Drosophila melanogaster: one gene and its partners. Changing the gene in region 1 together with any one later gene gives a genetic interaction. Each region holds a gene or a part of one and is shown on either strand. Other genes may lie near its edges.

The links.
Region 2: of E2f1 (region 1) and Imp, changing one enhances a phenotype caused by changing the other (phenotypic enhancement), as found in Drosophila melanogaster (one study listed by BioGRID).
Region 3: of E2f1 (region 1) and bel, changing one suppresses a phenotype caused by changing the other (phenotypic suppression), as found in Drosophila melanogaster (2 studies listed by BioGRID).

The regions. Positions count from the first base shown.
Region 1 is NT_033777.3:21,630,055-21,634,878, reverse strand, and holds the start of E2f1 (E2F transcription factor 1), read left to right. Parts: upstream 1-1,805; 5' UTR 1,806-1,955; exon of another isoform or gene 1,956-2,746; intron 2,747-4,824. UniProt on the Drosophila melanogaster protein: Transcriptional activator that binds to E2f sites. Required for wild-type growth in mitotic and polytene tissues, Contributes to the expression of replication genes at the G1-S transition and Cyclin E.
Region 2 is NC_004354.4:10,821,237-10,826,064, reverse strand, and holds the start of Imp (IGF-II mRNA-binding protein), read left to right. Parts: upstream 1-1,787; 5' UTR 1,788-1,890; intron 1,891-3,278; exon of another isoform or gene 3,279-3,673; intron 3,674-4,247; exon of another isoform or gene 4,248-4,746; intron 4,747-4,828.
Region 3 is NT_033777.3:8,654,721-8,662,348, reverse strand, and holds bel (belle), read left to right. Parts: upstream 1-1,587; 5' UTR 1,588-2,341; coding exon 2,342-2,386; intron 2,387-3,961; coding exon 3,962-4,334; intron 4,335-4,505; coding exon 4,506-6,371; intron 6,372-6,442; coding exon 6,443-6,564; 3' UTR 6,565-7,374; downstream 7,375-7,628. Other genes in the region: p (pink), read left to right, coding at 1-1,263. UniProt on the Drosophila melanogaster protein: ATP-dependent RNA helicase that is essential and required for cellular function, larval growth, and for male and female fertility.

The DNA of each region.
Region 1 (4,824 bases):
GATGGGAAGGGGGAAGGGGCAGGCGCAGGGGCCAAAGTTCTTCCTCTCTTTCTGCGTCCGTGAGGGGTGATTCTCGCCCCTCTTCTTCATATTCGTATTCTCATTCTTCTTCTTCTTCTTCTTGTCTGCCGGTCTGGCTTATGGGAAATGTGAAAAAAATCACACTCACGGATCTGTGAGTGTCCTCGCCTCAGCAACCCACCCAAGAGAAACCCAAAGGATAACAGCCTCGAATCCAAAAAAAAAAACTGCCTAAAAAGTTAATAGAAATCGAAAACTGGAAAGGAGATTACATTTCTGGTAGGAGGGGGGGGGGATGTTTCTCAGTTACTGGGCTTGGGATTATGGGAATGGGAAACACTGCGCAGATCGCCTGGCAAGTTGTACTGATTTGCGAGATACATTTGTGCACACAAAACCAGGAATGCAAATGGCAGCGGGCATGAGTTGTAAATATTTAATCAGATTGTTGTTAGAAAAAGTGACATGGTAGCGATTTTGGGATATTTATGAGTACAAACTTTGCATTATTCCAGAATGTATGAGTATTGTTTGTTTAGTAGAAAGTGCTTTTGCACTAAAGTAGATTAATAGTGGAATAACAAATAATATAAGAATGGAAAGTCAAATGTTTGAGCAGGTTTCTTTAATCAGGTCAGTTGCTCAGCAAATAGGTGAATTTTTACACTTCAGTTAGTATTTACTTAATTAAATACTAACTTTTCTCTATAAAGTTGCAAATCTTTAAGGTATATTATATGATTAAGCTGTGAGCTGTGAGATGAGCATACTTGGCTTTAATCTCAGGCATAATTTTTATGATACGTAGAAATTAATAGATTTGTGTGCGACAGTGTCGAGTTATGCGATAGACCCATTTAATGCCTATTTCCGGCCTTAAAAAGTGTACCCCTTGTTGATGGGGCGCTGAAAATCGGCAACGCTGCTGTGCTGCTGCAACTACAACAATGTCGTCACTGCAACGCAATGCAACACTTGGCACACAACTGATAAAGATAAAGAAGATGGTGAAGCGGTTGGTTGAGCGGGAGGGGAAAGGTTCTCTGCCGGCGTCGCTGTTGATGTGGGTGCGGTAACAGCGACGTCGCCACTTCCGTCTGAGCGATTTTTAGCCGATTTGTAGCCGGCAAGCCGAAGAGAGCGAAAAGGGTTGGGGGCCAAAAGCAAAAGCCGCTCTCACCGAACATTCGAGTCTGGCTTCCACATGCCACATGTGAAGAGTAGGAAGCGGCGCCACTCACATTCCACCCTCTTGCGCTTTCGCTTTCCGCCCCCTTCTCCACATTCGTTCTCTCTCGTGCTCAGCTGTTGCCGCTAATTCGCTGCAATTAGCGTGGTTCTCTTAGCTTCAAGCATTAGTTTTTATATCAACAGAATTTTAAAATTAAAAACTTCAAATAAAACTTGGACCAAAGATTTAATTAAAAGCTGATATTAGGTAAAATAATGTAGCATTTAAAAAACAATTCAGGAAGTGATTAACAGCGCTGTTATAGGTATTTAACTTCGCTTATAAATAATTATATTTTTCTTTTAACACTCAAATGTATTTATTCATTGCAAAATATTAATAACCCAAAATATTCGTTCCCTTTTGAATTGACAACCTATCGTAATATCGAATAGCTATCGTTTGATCAGTTTTGTCTCCACTCAATTTACGATCCACTCTCTTCTGCTCTCACTCTCTCGTGCCGCGAGCGCTCAGCTGCTGACGCCTCAAATTCGCCGCTACAAGAGACGCCGTGCGTTTTGTGGCTCGTTGCTTGTTCTGTCGATTCGCCGCGTTCAGTGTTGTTGTCGCGTCGTGACGCTGCTGTTGCCGCTGCCGCCCCCACACACATGTGCGAGCAGAAAACACGTTACGAGGGGAAAATCGACGGAAAAATCCGAAAAAAAATAGAAAAGCTAACTGAAAAGAGTACAAGACTGAGGTATTGATAAGTTAATGTGGTTTAATACACTAATTAAGCGTAAGTGGCCGGTATTAAAAGTGCCATTACGGTGGTGCTTACGTTTTCTCCGTCTGACGTAAGACGACTCCCTCTCTCGCTCTCTCTCTCTATCTCGTGTCTCTCCGATTCTCTTTCTCCGCGTGTGGATTGCGTTTTGCCGGCGACGGCGACTCCAAAAAAGACACGGCACAACACACTTTGTGGCCCAAGTTCAGTTCGCTTTTCGTCGCCAGTCCGCAAAAATGTGAAAATGGAAAACTGAGAGAAAAACCAAAAAGCCGCAAAAGACTGCCTCTGCAAGTAAAAGATTCAAGTCGCTGAGTAGCAATAGCAAATGCTCTAAAAAATCAAGAATAAAATAAAATAAAAGTGCGGGCGTGTAACAATTATGTGATATCTACAACAAATGCTCGAACTGCTGACGTCACGCACAGAATCGTAGAATATATAGAGAATAAAGAAGAGAAACGAAAACGTCGCGTAGTAAAGTTAAAAGTTCCCACACCACCGACGTACTCACACTCGCACACACACAGACTGAGTCAAACGAGTAAGAAGCAGCAGCACATTATACGTGGAATACAAAAAGTAACCGACAGAAAAGGCAAAACGCCCGCAAAAAAATGAAAAATTTGCAAATATGAAACGTGTGTGATATTCAAAAAGAGCAAGAAGAAGCAGGCGGCGGTGGAAAAAAAAGCAGAGCAATTTGTTGTGGTTGCGTGTGATATATAGAAAGCAAGTAAAACCAACAAAAATTCCATTTTTAGGTGCGTATTCAAACAAGACAAAAAAAAAGAAGCAAAGGGAGTTTCCACCTCACCTTTGATGATCAATTAATCATTCAATTTTGGGCTAAGCCCTCTAATAACCTCCAAAACCGATACGGTGAATAGCAGTCATTCGCTCACTCATTCAATCCCCCAACGCTCCAGTTTTCAGAGATAACGAATCGAAAATTCGGAGTCCATCAGTTTTTATTTCTATTTGCCCAAAGTCGGCGGCGATTTCTTTATGGCGCCCCCCAGATTAACATTTTACTAGATGTTAAGACAACAGTGCAGGTAACAGTTTGAAGAACTCGTGGTTTTTCTTCGAAGATATGGACAAAAATACATTTCAAGTTAAAATTAATTGTGTAAAACCGTCCAGCACAATATTAGCCAACTAACTGGCGTTTTTGTGTTGACGTGGATACTGAGGAATGCAAAATTAAAGCTGCACTGCAGTCATAAATATCAACTGAAATGTTCAATAGACATGTAATAATTAGGTAATGTGTTTGTTTTACAAATTAAAGTGATCTAAATGTTTTAAAATCTCAGATCATTTGTCTCTTTAATATTTTCTGTGGTCTTGAATTTGCCGGTTACTTCTACCAGTTTCGTCGGGTTAATTGGACTTGCATCAACAGTTTTCCGCTTTAATCTGTGCATGTACTTGACGACTGCACCACATAGTGTGTACATTATGTGTGGCCCCTGTTATCAGGCCTTGTGAGTACACAATATTCGATTGGCTCTAAATGCGTCATCGCGTAAATGGCCAGGCGAAATGAAGTTTTGTACATTATGTACAAAATTTTGGTGTATGAAACGCAAAGGGGACTTCCCTGGAATTCATTCTGCTTTCCTTGCCGGCATTGATATTCCACACCCACGCAATAATTTTTCCTTTCCCGGGCTTTCATTATGTTTGCAGTTTTCTGTGGGCGAAATATTTTGCGACGCATTTTGTGCGCCTCTCCCTGGACAAAAAGCCGCCTTCTCTTTTACTCGTTCTCTTTTTCTTGACTTGGCCAGTTGGCAATTATTTTTGGCTTTCTCAAACGAAAAAAGCTAAGGCGAGGCTTACAGCCGTTTTATTTTATATTACTATTACCTTATTTCATTTCTGTAAGTGTGCAATTAAGTGGCTGCCTTCTGTCTCGGTCCTTGCGGTTCATAAGAAAGAAGCCAAGTGTGTGTAATTGACCAAATGAAATAAAGATGATAGAGAAAATAAAACCGGCTAGAAAAAAGCATCCATGGGACCAACAACAACAAAAAGATGAAGAGAGATGTTCCATGTGGATTGTGTCTGTGAGTAACAGCTGTTATTCGGATTCAGGCCGGCTTTTACTCTCAGTCTCTTTTCCCTAGCAGCATCCCCCTCCAACACACACACACACCGTGGGAGACTCTCTCTTTCTCTCTCTGGACTGCCGCTTAATACACAAAATTCGTGTTCTTCCTCTTTTTCTGGCTTTTGATTCACTTTTTTCCCTCTATTGCAATTGTTGTTGCTTAACACCTTGCACACTCGCACATTATTTATTTGTATTTATTTCACTTGTCCCTGCCTTTTTACTGCGCATGCAAAATGATGTGCAAAAAGAAAGCGAAACTTTTTATTAGCTCTTGGTATCTGTGTGGGTGTTAGTGAGCATGCATGTACATACATATGTATGTTTTCGTGTGCTTGTGCTTATGCCTGTGTGTGCGTGAGTCTGCATACATAACAACGTATATAATTAATAGCCATGTAAATGCATGATCTTCATAATTAATAACGGTAAATTGGCATGCCAGAGGAATACAGTTATGGCTGCAAATTAAATACCAGCCATTAGTTGCATTCGAATTGGGATTTTAGCTAATATTTTATTAATTAGTGAATTGAGATTTCATGTCTGCAATTGGGCATATTTATTATTCGGGGGCAGACTAAATTTAAGTTATAAAGAGTAAAGATCCGTTAATTTAACAATCTTCACTACACCTTGCGGCCGGTTATTGTTGCTATACTAATTCGAAATTAACACGGAGAACGTGAGAGCAGAGTAGTGGCAGTGAAAAGGTGAAGGGAG
Region 2 (4,828 bases), on another chromosome or scaffold:
CAATAAACAAGCAAGTTCCGTTAAGATTTCAAAGTACGCACTGACTTTCAACTTTCAACCAACCCCCACCACGCAGCACGCAGCACCCAGCCACCTTCCACTGGCGTTCGTCCTTGTCCCACGACGGGACAATGTGTGGAGAGGGGTGGAAGGGGGGGGGGGGGGGTGATGCCAGAATAGAGAGACACACAAGGGTTGCAATCTAATGAAATAATAATAATAAAAAAGTAAATAAAGCAAGGGGCGAAGTCAACGGAACGCAGCCAAATTCGATCCTCGACGTGTGGCGTGGGTGCAACAGAGATGGCAAGAGTGGCAAGCGCGTAACGGGACACCACCACCCAAAAGCTGGAAGACAGCGGACTGGAACGTTCTCTCCCCCAACCCCTTCCATGCCAAACCATTCCCGTGCCAACGCACTCGCGAAAATAATTGAATGTAATTTTAAATGATGTTTGTGATTATATTACAAATGAAAATTGGGTTTCTTAGAAACATTCGAAAAGTATTAAAAAAGAGAATGATGATCTGCTTGTTTAGCCCCATCTCAAAATCGCTTCATTTCCTGCTTAGAAGGTATCTAATAGTCGCGACACTCGACCATTTTCATTTACTGTGCACTAAATACCATAGAATCCAAGCCAATGCGATCCCAACCATCCCAAATCGAAATGGAAAATCGCAGCATGGCAACGCACAGGACGCACACACAAAAATGCGTCGCAGTTGCCGCTGGGGGTGGGTGGTGGCTCTTCCTTTCCCATTTCCATTCCCTTTCCCTGCGCCTTTCCCTTTACCATTAGCGTTAAACCCTCCCAGCTCGTATCCTCGTCCCTTTTTTTTGGACTAGGCTAGGGCTAGAGCCCAGACTGAGAGTTCAGAACTCACAGCCAGCCGGCTGTAAACATTCCTGACAGACGCAGGAACGCAGCAACGCATCGCAACCACACAGCGCACATTCAGCAACAGCGATGGTGGTGGTGGCAAGCAAATTATGAGATTTTCAGGGGTTCAACAGCCTCCTAGAAATGTACGGGACAACTAAAGTATTCCATCAATGCATTGAAAGAATTCTTCAAGTCTGCCATCAGAGCTATATCTATACAATGGTACTACAAAATAGATCCCTAAGTATATGCTAATATAGATAGTCAGAGGTAGAAAGATGTATATCCTTGAAAGATCTATCTAAATGATTGTTGTATCTTAACAAATATGGCTTGAAGTTAAAGAACTTAACAGTTCGTTCGCCTTACTTCTGCACTCCGTAATCTTCTAGTTTAAGCTTAAAGTTGCAGCTCAGCATTGAGATCTTGGATGGAAAGTGCATGGGCATGGGCCTGGAACCACTGCCATTGTGCACCCATGTCCAGGGGCGTAGGGCCACATCCTCGACCTTGTCCTTGTCCCGTATTTTGGGGTTGAAAAACTACGCAAGTTTCGCTCGAAATTCGAAAACGGGACGCAATCGCTTAGTGTGTGCGTGCGATATGGTATGGGTGTAGACTCTCTGTGTGTGTGTGTGTGTGTGTGTGTGGGCTGAGTTGGGTTGGTAACAGTCGGATATATATGTACATACTTATATATATTTTATGTTTGTTGCTGCTCTGGGGTGCGCATCAGATTTAGCTGAACGAAGGAAGGAAGCATCGACAAAAAAGAGGAACGGGAAAATGTAGGAGAGCAGGAAGTAGAAATTTCGTTGGCAGCAAGGTCAGCGAGAGAGGGAGATGGCAGGAGTGAGGGAAACAGAGATGGAGAAGGCACAGTCTTAGATCGAAACACGATTGTGAGCTGCAGACTTTTCCAAGTCCCCGGAATCGCTATTCGCAGCTCACTTCCCTCGTGTTAACCTCATTGCGTCCAATCTAGTTGGAAAATCCCGTTGAGGTATCAAGTACTGTTTATAGAAATGTATCTTTCATAACACTATCATAACAATTGAATACTACACTCTCTAACTCGTCGTTCGAAAACAAACTTATGATTATAAAGGCCATAGTAACAAAGAAGCCGCAACGCAAGTCGTAAAATGCATTGCATACTTTCTGGAGTCGAAAAGTGCCACAATTAATATATGCAATCTAAACAATGGGATTGGGAAAAGAAAATAATTTATATAATTCTATTATAAGCCAAAATAATAGCTTTATTGATATCTATGCATAATCGCAATTTACAAATGCCAATAACTTGGCTCACAAGTGGCAATCGTGAGTGGAATCGAATTCACAATTTCCCCGAAAGACATTTTCCGTTCTCTTGTTTTCCTCATGTCTTAAAATTATAGTCTTGCCTTTTGTCAAGCAGCTGTGGCAGTTTGAATTTTCCTGACATTTTCACGAGCCAGTAGACAAAACAGACGGGGCGATAAAAGGGCGCAAAGGAGAGCGAAGAGGAGCGGAGAAGAGAGAAAAGTGGAGAGAAGAGCGATGAGCGAAGAGAGAGCGGGAAAAACGCTGGCGTCTCTGCTCGGGCCACCCTTGTTTTCAGAGTTTTTCCCCGAGTTTTCCGCTTGGTACTATGAGTTTTCGCTTTTCACATTTCACACTCACCCCCGTCGCAGCTGCGTCGACGTCAACGTCAGCGTCAGCGTCGACAGCGCTGCCAACAGCTAGCCGGTCCAAGCCAATCAGATGGAAAATATTCGTTTATCCGTTGCGTTTTTCGATGTTTTTCCTTTTTGGGTCGGGAAAACCTTTTGCATAGGGCGACCAGCAGTGCAAAGTACAGGTCCAACAGCTGGCACAGTGATCACCAGATGAAATAGAACAGATCAACAGAAATCATCGATCATTAAATCGGAATAGAAATGAAATTAGAAGTTAGCTATATAAATATGTAACGTATCTAAGCAAGGCCTAAAATGTATGTTAAATATATTTTGATTACCTATAGTAACTTAATAATACATTTGGCAATGTATACTGGCATAAATTAATAGTTAGCTTATTCGATTTCTTAACCTTAGATCATTTATAGTGGTCGCCGACTTTTTAGAGTGAGTGTGGTGTAAGCCGGCTGCTGCCCTTTAAAGCGGATAATGTGTATAGACGCTTGCACACAGATACAGATACGAGTACAGACACAGATACAGATACAAATATGCCAAGGAGCAGGGTCAGCCATTTTGGTTTACAACTTTCACTGTTTTGGATGGGTGGGAAAATGCGACGCCAACGCCAACGCCGCTGCTACAGCGCCGCGGCAGAGGTCCTGAGAGCAGAGCAGAGCTGAACAGAGTTTTCCTCGCATTTTCATCGGGCGCTGAGCAGACACCTTGGAAATTGGGATCCGTATATCCGGCAGGCAGGCAGTTCACTCGTCGCCGTTGCGTCAGTTCGTTCGACTCTCGACTCTCAGCTCACAGTTCGCAGTTAAATAGTTAATAGTCAATAGCTCACGCCGAACAGCTATCGAGATATTAGTGTTTTGGATTCAGATTCAGATTCAGATTCAGATACGGATACGGATTCAAACGGCGCCGCCATTTGTGATTTTTGTTGTTTTTTCTTGTATGAGCAAAAAGTGACAAAGCACAAAAAAAAAGAAAAAAAAAGATAAAAACCAGTGAAAAGCCAAAGGAAAAGCGCAAAGAAAAGTGAAAAATCATCATAAAATAACAAACAAAAATTCGACGAGAATTCTTGAGGTTTACCAAATACACCAAAGTGTAAGTGTAAGAAAGAGAAAGGAGATACCAACCAAGCCATAGAGAGAGAAGGTGAGGGAGAGAGAGAGTAAGGGAGTGGGAATAGGAGGGAGTGTTTTTCCAGCCTTGCTTTGTACGCACTCACTCACGCATCTGCTGCCGTCTCGCTCGCACCCACACAATCCAACGCCCACCCACGGCAACCCACACACAGAGTTGTCACCTACACAAAAATCAATAACGAAACCCAATAAAATAAAATCCACAACGACAGCGAAAACAAGCCCAAAAAGAAAATGTTACTTCCTGTCTAAATCAATCAATGGAAAAATCAATTGCGAACTCATTAAGGATGCTAGATTTTGATTCCAAGTAATTCTTATGGCATTTGAAAACTAGCTATAGATTGCATAAAAACTAGATTTCTTAGGGATTAACTATAATTTTCTTTTAATGCTTTAGGCTATGGACGGTAATAGGTTATGTAGAAAGTATTGTAGTATTGCAAATATAACCCATTATTGAATATCCCAAATCACACACACCATTGGCTTTGCTGTCAATCGCAAATGTCTAAAAGCCCCATACAAATTTCACTTTTCCCACTATTCAGTTTCAAATTTTTTCTCGCTCAATATAAAAAAAAAATCAAAAATTTACCCAAAATCAAAAATATACACTCACACAGTCCATAACAAGACAAGACACCGGAAAACAACAGGCAACACACCCATATTAAAGCCAAAAAAAAAGGAATCTAAGAAAGGCCAAAGGAAAGGCGAAAGACCAGACAATTTTGTTTAAACTACGTACTAGGTAGAGATATTTATAATCTGGAGAATTCCGATCAATTGGAATATTGTAGCCCAGAGAATATCGATCCTCTCGAGAAAAATTCACCGACCTCACTTTCCAATTCTAAAGCCTGAAATCTTGATGTTGAACCCACACAATTGGCAACTTAATTGAATCAAGAGCCTGCAAAGGACTGAGATCTCTGGAGCAAGAATCAGGCACCTTTATCTCAAGCAATTTCAACAGACATCCTATCCAAATCTCGAGAATAAGCAGTGCACTTGCGTCCCATTGAAAGTGTAAGTATCCTTTTCTGTCAGGATATTGAAACGGGTCCTCGAAAAATGTTACCTTGCTATAGTTCCGTAACGAACTCAATAT
Region 3 (7,628 bases), about 13 Mb from region 1:
GATATATCCGTGATATTTGATGCCATAACTCAGTGCACAGGCAGTGCTTTGGATACGCACAGCTCGGGAGGCAGTTCAGCCACCACTGAACGCAGTTTGAGCGGCGGAAGTTCATCGAGAGCTCCGCCGAAGGGAGTGTACGTGCTGGAAAACGCATTCTGCGACAACTTGAAGCAGCCTCTCAAAACGGGACACTTCAAGGATGCGCTGCTGACGGTAACTGGTAAATTCGGCAAGAACATCATAAAATACAAGTTCAATATTTTTGCCGAGGAACAGCAGCAGTTGGTCAGGGAACTAATTCCAGCCAGCGAGCGTTCTCTGCCGTTCAAGGACATCAAAGCACGCTACGAGTCGGGAAGCGAGGATCAGGAGGAGGAAATTGTTAGGCGCTGTAAGAAACCGGCTCCCCAGGTTCCCCACATCAGTCCCGAGGAGAAGACTCTTTACAACCTCTACCTGATCGCCAAGAGCGCCAAGTTTAGCCGGACGCAGTGCGTCGATCGTTATCGCGCTGTCTTCGACGAGTATGCAGCTGGCGAGCTGGTGAATCTGCTCGAGAAACTAGCCCAGGTGATGGTAGAGCATGGGGATACGCCTGACCAAGCGCAACGCAATTGCTACGAGATGTATTTCGATTACCTGGATCCGGAGATGATCTGGGAAGTGGACGACGCTACGCGGGATCACATAGCTGCCGGATTTGTGCTGCTAAATACTTCGCAAAATGCGGAGATTGTCAAGTGTGAGCATTGCTCGTTCCCCCTTCGCTTCGATACCTCCTGCCAGTATCATGAGCTTGGAGCAGTGCTCCTGCGATACTTCTGGTCCCGTGGCGAGCAACTGAAGTGCTTTGATGTTGTTCAATCAGTGCCGGCACTATTAGACGTCTTAGCTAAATTTTACCTAGCCGAACAGAATCTCACCAAAGTGGTGGCCATCGTCCTCAACTACGGACTCCCCGAACTTCTGGCTGACGTGGGCAAACAACTGAGCGTGAGCGCATGGGGCCGCTGCTTCGAACAGTTCGTGGAACTGCAACGCGGCGGACGACTGGTGTGCGCCAACTGCGAGTGCATATCTGGCGTGGAACAGGAACAGTTGGGACGCCACTTCTTCTACAACTGGAACTGTTTCCTCAACATCGCTCTGGATCACATGTCCGCCGGGGACACGCTGGCGCTGATCTTCAAGTGGAGCTCATACATTCCAAACGACGCTATCGACCGGGAGTTCTACTCCCGCTGCCTGCTCAAGGGCTGAACGATATGAAAATTATTATTATATACATATATACGATACTTTATAGCCATATTTATTGTTCCACTAACTAATCTCAAGCTAAGGCCAATACCAAAAGCATTTATTCTATATAAACATGTACATTCACAATATGTATATTCTGAAGACGAAAGTGAATGAATATATTCCAGAGTTCGAAACTTCGAATTTTAGTTTTCTTTAACAGACTTGGAGGGAACTTGAGTATGGAATTGTTTGGAAATTTTTAATACCTATTTTACGGCAATCACATATATATACTAAATTTCAAATTTAATTTGAATTTCTTTGACTTTTGCTTCAAATAACGAAATGGGGTACAGCGGCTGACGCCTTATAAACAACTATTCCTAAACATAAACACAAACATTTTTGGCCTTTAAGAAACAAAATTTAACTGCCCAGCCTCATTTCTCTTCCATTCAAAAAACAACAACAGCCTAGAAGGGATCGACGCGCCGAAAAAGCAAAAGTGAAAAAATTCAATTTGAATTTCATAGACCGCGAGACGAGGATATAGATCTGGCAACGCCCTTGCCGGAGTCTTTGCCAGTAACCGCCGCCGAGAGCCCAGGTTGGAGTCTCTGCTCTACCTCCACCGACCGCATCTATCGATTCCTCATCGATATACGTGCTAAAGCAGCCCTGATTTTTTAGACACGCGTCTGAAAGCGGAAAAAAACGTGAACTCGTCGGAGAAGCAGCATTTTCCAAGCCCATAGCGCTTGTAATTGTAATTGTTGGCACAAGCAGGCCAGCCAAATCCGATACGGAAACGTCTCAGTTTCAAGCCGAACAAAGGGAATTGTGTGCGAGGAACGAAAAGAACCCTGAAATTTCACACGAGAACGCAGTAGCTTGTGGAACGTAAGAAGTTTTTTGTCGGAAAAACTAAGGAAAAACGTATAGACACAAAGTGCAACACCAACACAACGATCGTATACATTTTTTTGTCGCAAATTGCAAGTGTGCATTCAAAAAAAAAAATTCAAAGCGTAACCATTGCAAAATTTTCCTAAACGGAAAGCAAGAAAAAAAAAGCAACTGATTGGAGGATAATATGAGTAATGCTATTAACCAAAATGGCACAGGTCTAGAGCAGCAAGTAAGTAGCGTTTTTAACTGCTGAAAATACCATTTACCATCTATATAAGAATGGAACACGCATGTGTATGCGGTGGCTGTGTGTGTGTGTTCGTGATGCTCATGCGGCTATTTGAAAAAGTTCGCCTAGAAATTTATTGATTTCATAACACACTAATGTCTCTATCGCTCGTTTTACAACGGTGAATTGTGTCGGTGTCAATGGCTTGCATATATGTGCGTGTGTGTGTGCGCCTGGGTCCCTCTTCGTCATTCCAATTTGTAATTTCTTTTGTATAATTTTTGCTCGCTTGCCTCCAATTTGACATGTATAATATATACATATGAAAGTTTCCATTCGGCCTCTCACGTTGAGTGTGTCGTGTGTGCGAGCAGTGCCGCTGTTCTAAGGCTGGTCGTGTGTGTGTGTTATATCTCGCTCTCTCTCGCTTGCTCACACATGTGGAAGCTGTTGTAAATAGGGTTGCCAGGAGTAAGCGATCTGGTGATTAATTTCAAGGGTGATTTGGCAAAAAAAAATGGAAGAAAAGCAAAGCATGTAATCTACATACACTATTTTAACAAGCCTTTGTTAGGTCCTTAAAAAGAATTAAACTTTATTAGAGATGTGAAATAAACAAACGTTAATGCTTTCAAATGGAAATAGTTTAGTTAAATACTACTATTTCTGTATGCCTCAAATGCACGCAATGAATCTAGCAACGATCTAGCCGTTAAGTGACGCCCCACAAAATCTGCGAATTACATATTTAGCTGCCTTTGTTAATTAATATAAATGAAGAAGGCAAAATATTGAATATTACAAGATATACGGGAATAATAATCATTGTATACATTTAAACTAGTTCTTGAAAGAGTTCCCTTGCTTTCATCACCATTCTGTCCACTTGGGTCCCGCAACCGGGCTTTGTGTTTTGCCCCTACGGTGCGATTTGTTTTCCCATGTGTGGGTGGCTCGTTCACGTGTTGTTTTTGTTGGGTTACCAGGCGGACTCTCTTTGTGTAATAGCTTGCCTGCGAGTGCGAGAGAGACGCTTACAGGGAGAGCACTAAATTCGAAGCTTTAAACTAGTTGCGCCTCTCTCTATCTGTGTATTCCGGAGATTTGCACGTACATACATATGTATCTATGTATATATACACGTTGCGTTGCTAAGAGGAAGAGCGGTAAATAGCACATGTTGCTAAGCGGGAACGAATTCATTTTGGCAGTTCTGGAGAAAATTTCCCCGGCGAATCTTTTGCCAAACTGTTGAACTTGATTCTTGAACTGGTGCCGGCTAACTTACAGGCAACATATGTTAATTGGCCATGTGTACTATAAATCAATTGTATTAGTGGAGCAAAGATTATTTGTGTAGCTTAGTTTTGCATTGCTGGTATAGATCTTATCATTAAATGCACTGTGTTCCCGTAAACTTGGTATATAACAAAGAAAAGTAATCTTAAACCAATGATTAAGTACAAAAAAAATAGAACAAAACCTATAATTTAAGTGTTAGGAAACCACATTTGATGCCACATTTTTTGCACAAGTTCTGAAGAAGACTAACCATTTAATCTTTATCACTTGCAGGTTGCTGGTCTGGACTTGAATGGCGGCTCTGCTGACTACAGCGGCCCCATAACCAGCAAGACTTCCACTAACTCGGTCACCGGTGGTGTGTATGTGCCCCCGCACCTTCGTGGTGGTGGTGGCAATAACAACGCAGCGGACGCAGAGAGCCAGGGCCAAGGACAGGGCCAGGGTCAGGGCTTCGACTCCAGATCCGGGAATCCGCGCCAGGAGACTAGGGACCCTCAACAGTCGCGCGGAGGCGGAGGCGAATACCGCAGAGGCGGCGGCGGTGGTGGTCGCGGCTTCAATCGCCAGAGCGGCGACTACGGTTACGGAAGCGGCGGCGGAGGACGACGTGGAGGCGGTGGACGTTTCGAGGACAACTACAACGGTGGGTACTATTGGCTAACAGGTGGTCTATTCACTATCAAGAAGCACAAGGACATTTAATTAATTTTTACAGCTCCATAATGTAATGATCCTTAAAATCGTAATGCGTACGACTTATACTTGGTCCTCTAATATGCCCATATTATTAGAGAAAATGTAATTACTTTTGCAGGTGGTGAATTCGATTCGCGTCGCGGCGGTGACTGGAATCGCAGCGGCGGAGGCGGCGGAGGAGGTCGAGGATTTGGACGCGGACCATCGTACCGCGGCGGTGGCGGCGGAAGCGGTAGCAACCTCAACGAGCAGACTGCCGAGGATGGCCAGGCACAGCAGCAGCAGCAGCCGCGCAACGATCGTTGGCAGGAGCCAGAACGTCCTGCCGGATTCGATGGCAGCGAGGGCGGACAGTCTGCCGGCGGCAACAGAAGCTACAACAATCGCGGCGAGCGCGGAGGCGGCGGTTACAACAGCCGCTGGAAGGAGGGCGGCGGCTCAAACGTCGACTACACAAAGCTGGGCGCCCGAGATGAGCGCCTGGAGGTGGAGCTGTTCGGCGTGGGCAATACGGGAATCAATTTTGACAAATACGAGGATATACCCGTGGAGGCGACGGGCCAGAATGTGCCCCCGAACATCACATCGTTCGATGATGTGCAGCTGACGGAGATTATCCGCAACAACGTGGCCTTAGCACGTTATGACAAACCGACACCGGTGCAGAAGCACGCCATTCCGATCATTATCAATGGCCGGGATCTAATGGCCTGCGCCCAGACTGGATCCGGCAAGACGGCCGCCTTCCTGGTGCCGATTCTCAACCAGATGTACGAGCTGGGACATGTGCCCCCGCCGCAAAGCACCCGGCAGTACAGCCGGCGCAAGCAGTATCCGTTGGGTCTGGTGCTGGCGCCGACCCGCGAACTGGCCACCCAGATCTTTGAGGAGGCCAAGAAGTTCGCCTATCGCTCCCGGATGCGCCCGGCAGTGCTGTACGGCGGAAACAATACTAGCGAGCAGATGCGCGAGCTGGACCGCGGTTGCCATCTGATTGTGGCCACACCCGGTCGCCTAGAGGACATGATCACACGCGGAAAGGTGGGACTGGAGAACATTCGATTCCTTGTACTGGATGAGGCTGATCGTATGTTGGACATGGGTTTCGAGCCGCAGATCCGTCGCATCGTCGAACAGCTAAACATGCCGCCAACCGGACAGCGCCAGACGCTTATGTTCTCGGCCACATTCCCCAAGCAGATCCAGGAGTTAGCCAGCGATTTCCTCAGCAACTACATTTTCTTGGCCGTTGGTCGTGTGGGCTCCACATCTGAGAACATTACGCAGACAATCCTGTGGGTCTATGAACCCGACAAGCGCTCGTATCTGCTGGATCTGCTCTCGTCTATCCGCGATGGCCCCGAATACACCAAAGACAGCCTAACACTGATCTTTGTGGAGACTAAGAAGGGTGCAGACTCGCTGGAGGAGTTCCTGTACCAGTGCAATCATCCCGTCACTAGCATCCACGGTGATCGCACGCAGAAGGAGCGCGAGGAGGCACTGCGCTGCTTCCGATCGGGCGACTGCCCCATCCTGGTGGCCACAGCCGTGGCCGCTCGTGGCCTGGACATTCCGCACGTTAAGCACGTTATTAACTTTGACCTGCCCTCGGATGTGGAGGAGTATGTCCACCGTATCGGGCGTACCGGACGTATGGGTAATCTTGGTGTGGCCACCTCCTTTTTCAACGAAAAGAACCGCAACATTTGCTCCGATCTCTTGGAGCTGCTGATCGAAACGAAGCAGGAGATCCCCAGTTTCATGGAGGATATGAGTTCGGATCGCGGACATGGCGGAGCCAAGCGGGCTGGACGAGGCGGTGGTGGACGTTATGGTGGCGGCTTCGGCTCCAGGGATTACCGTCAAAGCTCTGGCGGCGGCGGTGGCGGACGCAGTGGACCGCCACCACGTAGCGGTGGTTCCGGATCAGGAGGCGGCGGCGGCAGTTACCGCAGCAATGGAAACTCGTACGGTAAGTTTGGTGAGTGTGGAATCATCCATCAGCAGTAATCAGTTTAAAGGCAGAAACTTAACAGTGGATTTCCTTTACAGGCGGCAATTCGGGCGGCGGTGGATACTATGGCGGCGGCGCCGGTGGTGGCTCCTATGGCGGCTCCTACGGCGGCGGCAGTGCCTCGCACTCTTCGAACGCACCCGACTGGTGGGCTCAATGAGCAAGGCCTCAGCTTCAGGCAAAGGACCTGGGCCAGCAGCAGCAGCAGCATCAGCAGTCGCATCGTAGCCACTTTCGCAAATAACCAAACGGAGTAAAACAAAGTCGATAACAACTATATATGTGTACACACGTATACTATATAGGAACAGCAAATGTGAAAGAGAAACTGTCTGTGCGCAGCGCAACACAAATCACGAAAATACAGAAAAGATACACAGATGCACCCTCCACCCCACCCTCGTTTAGCAATTCACTCCTCTCTCACAACCTCAAAAACCAGGAGCAAGCGTTAATAATAAACTGTGCAAGTCCATCGCGAAAGTATATTACATTCATGTATAGCCAGCCCAAGCCGCCCTCCATTTCCATCTCACCCATCATTATATTTTATGAATTCGATGCGCGTAGTTGAAGGATATGCAAGCAAACACATACATATTTAAAATATGCTAAACAACCACAAATATTAAGAATATTTAAGCAAATGATAAAATTTTTGAATTTTTGTCCATAAGTTACAATTCTCACACATCATTTTTCTTGGAACTCTTAATATACATATATATATATATATATATATGTATTCTTATATATATATATATATATATCTAGACATAAATATTGTCAATGTCGGATCGAAACGATGAAAGCGCAAATCCTTGAACTTCAATTGATGATTTTAAACGAAGAAAACATAAAAATAGTAATGGTATATATATTATTAAATATATAGATCGAGATAGAATGTACTATATGAAACAAGAAACCAACACAAACAAGTAATTAAAACAAAAAAAAAACAAGTTTGCTAAACTAAAGCTTAATAATTTAGCAAATGAGAAAAAGAACTCGCATGGTTGTTTTTAATTTTTTCTGCATTTGGTGTAACAGGTGATTTTTTTGGGATTGGCAGATCGTGTCCGATAACGCTGTAAAGCACCAACGTTTACTAATTCCTTGGCGCCCTATTATCTTTTCATAAATATGTTCAATTAAGATTTATTTACTTACTGATATCACTTTTTGAGTTAGCTCCATTGATAAGAATTGGCAAGTTGCCTG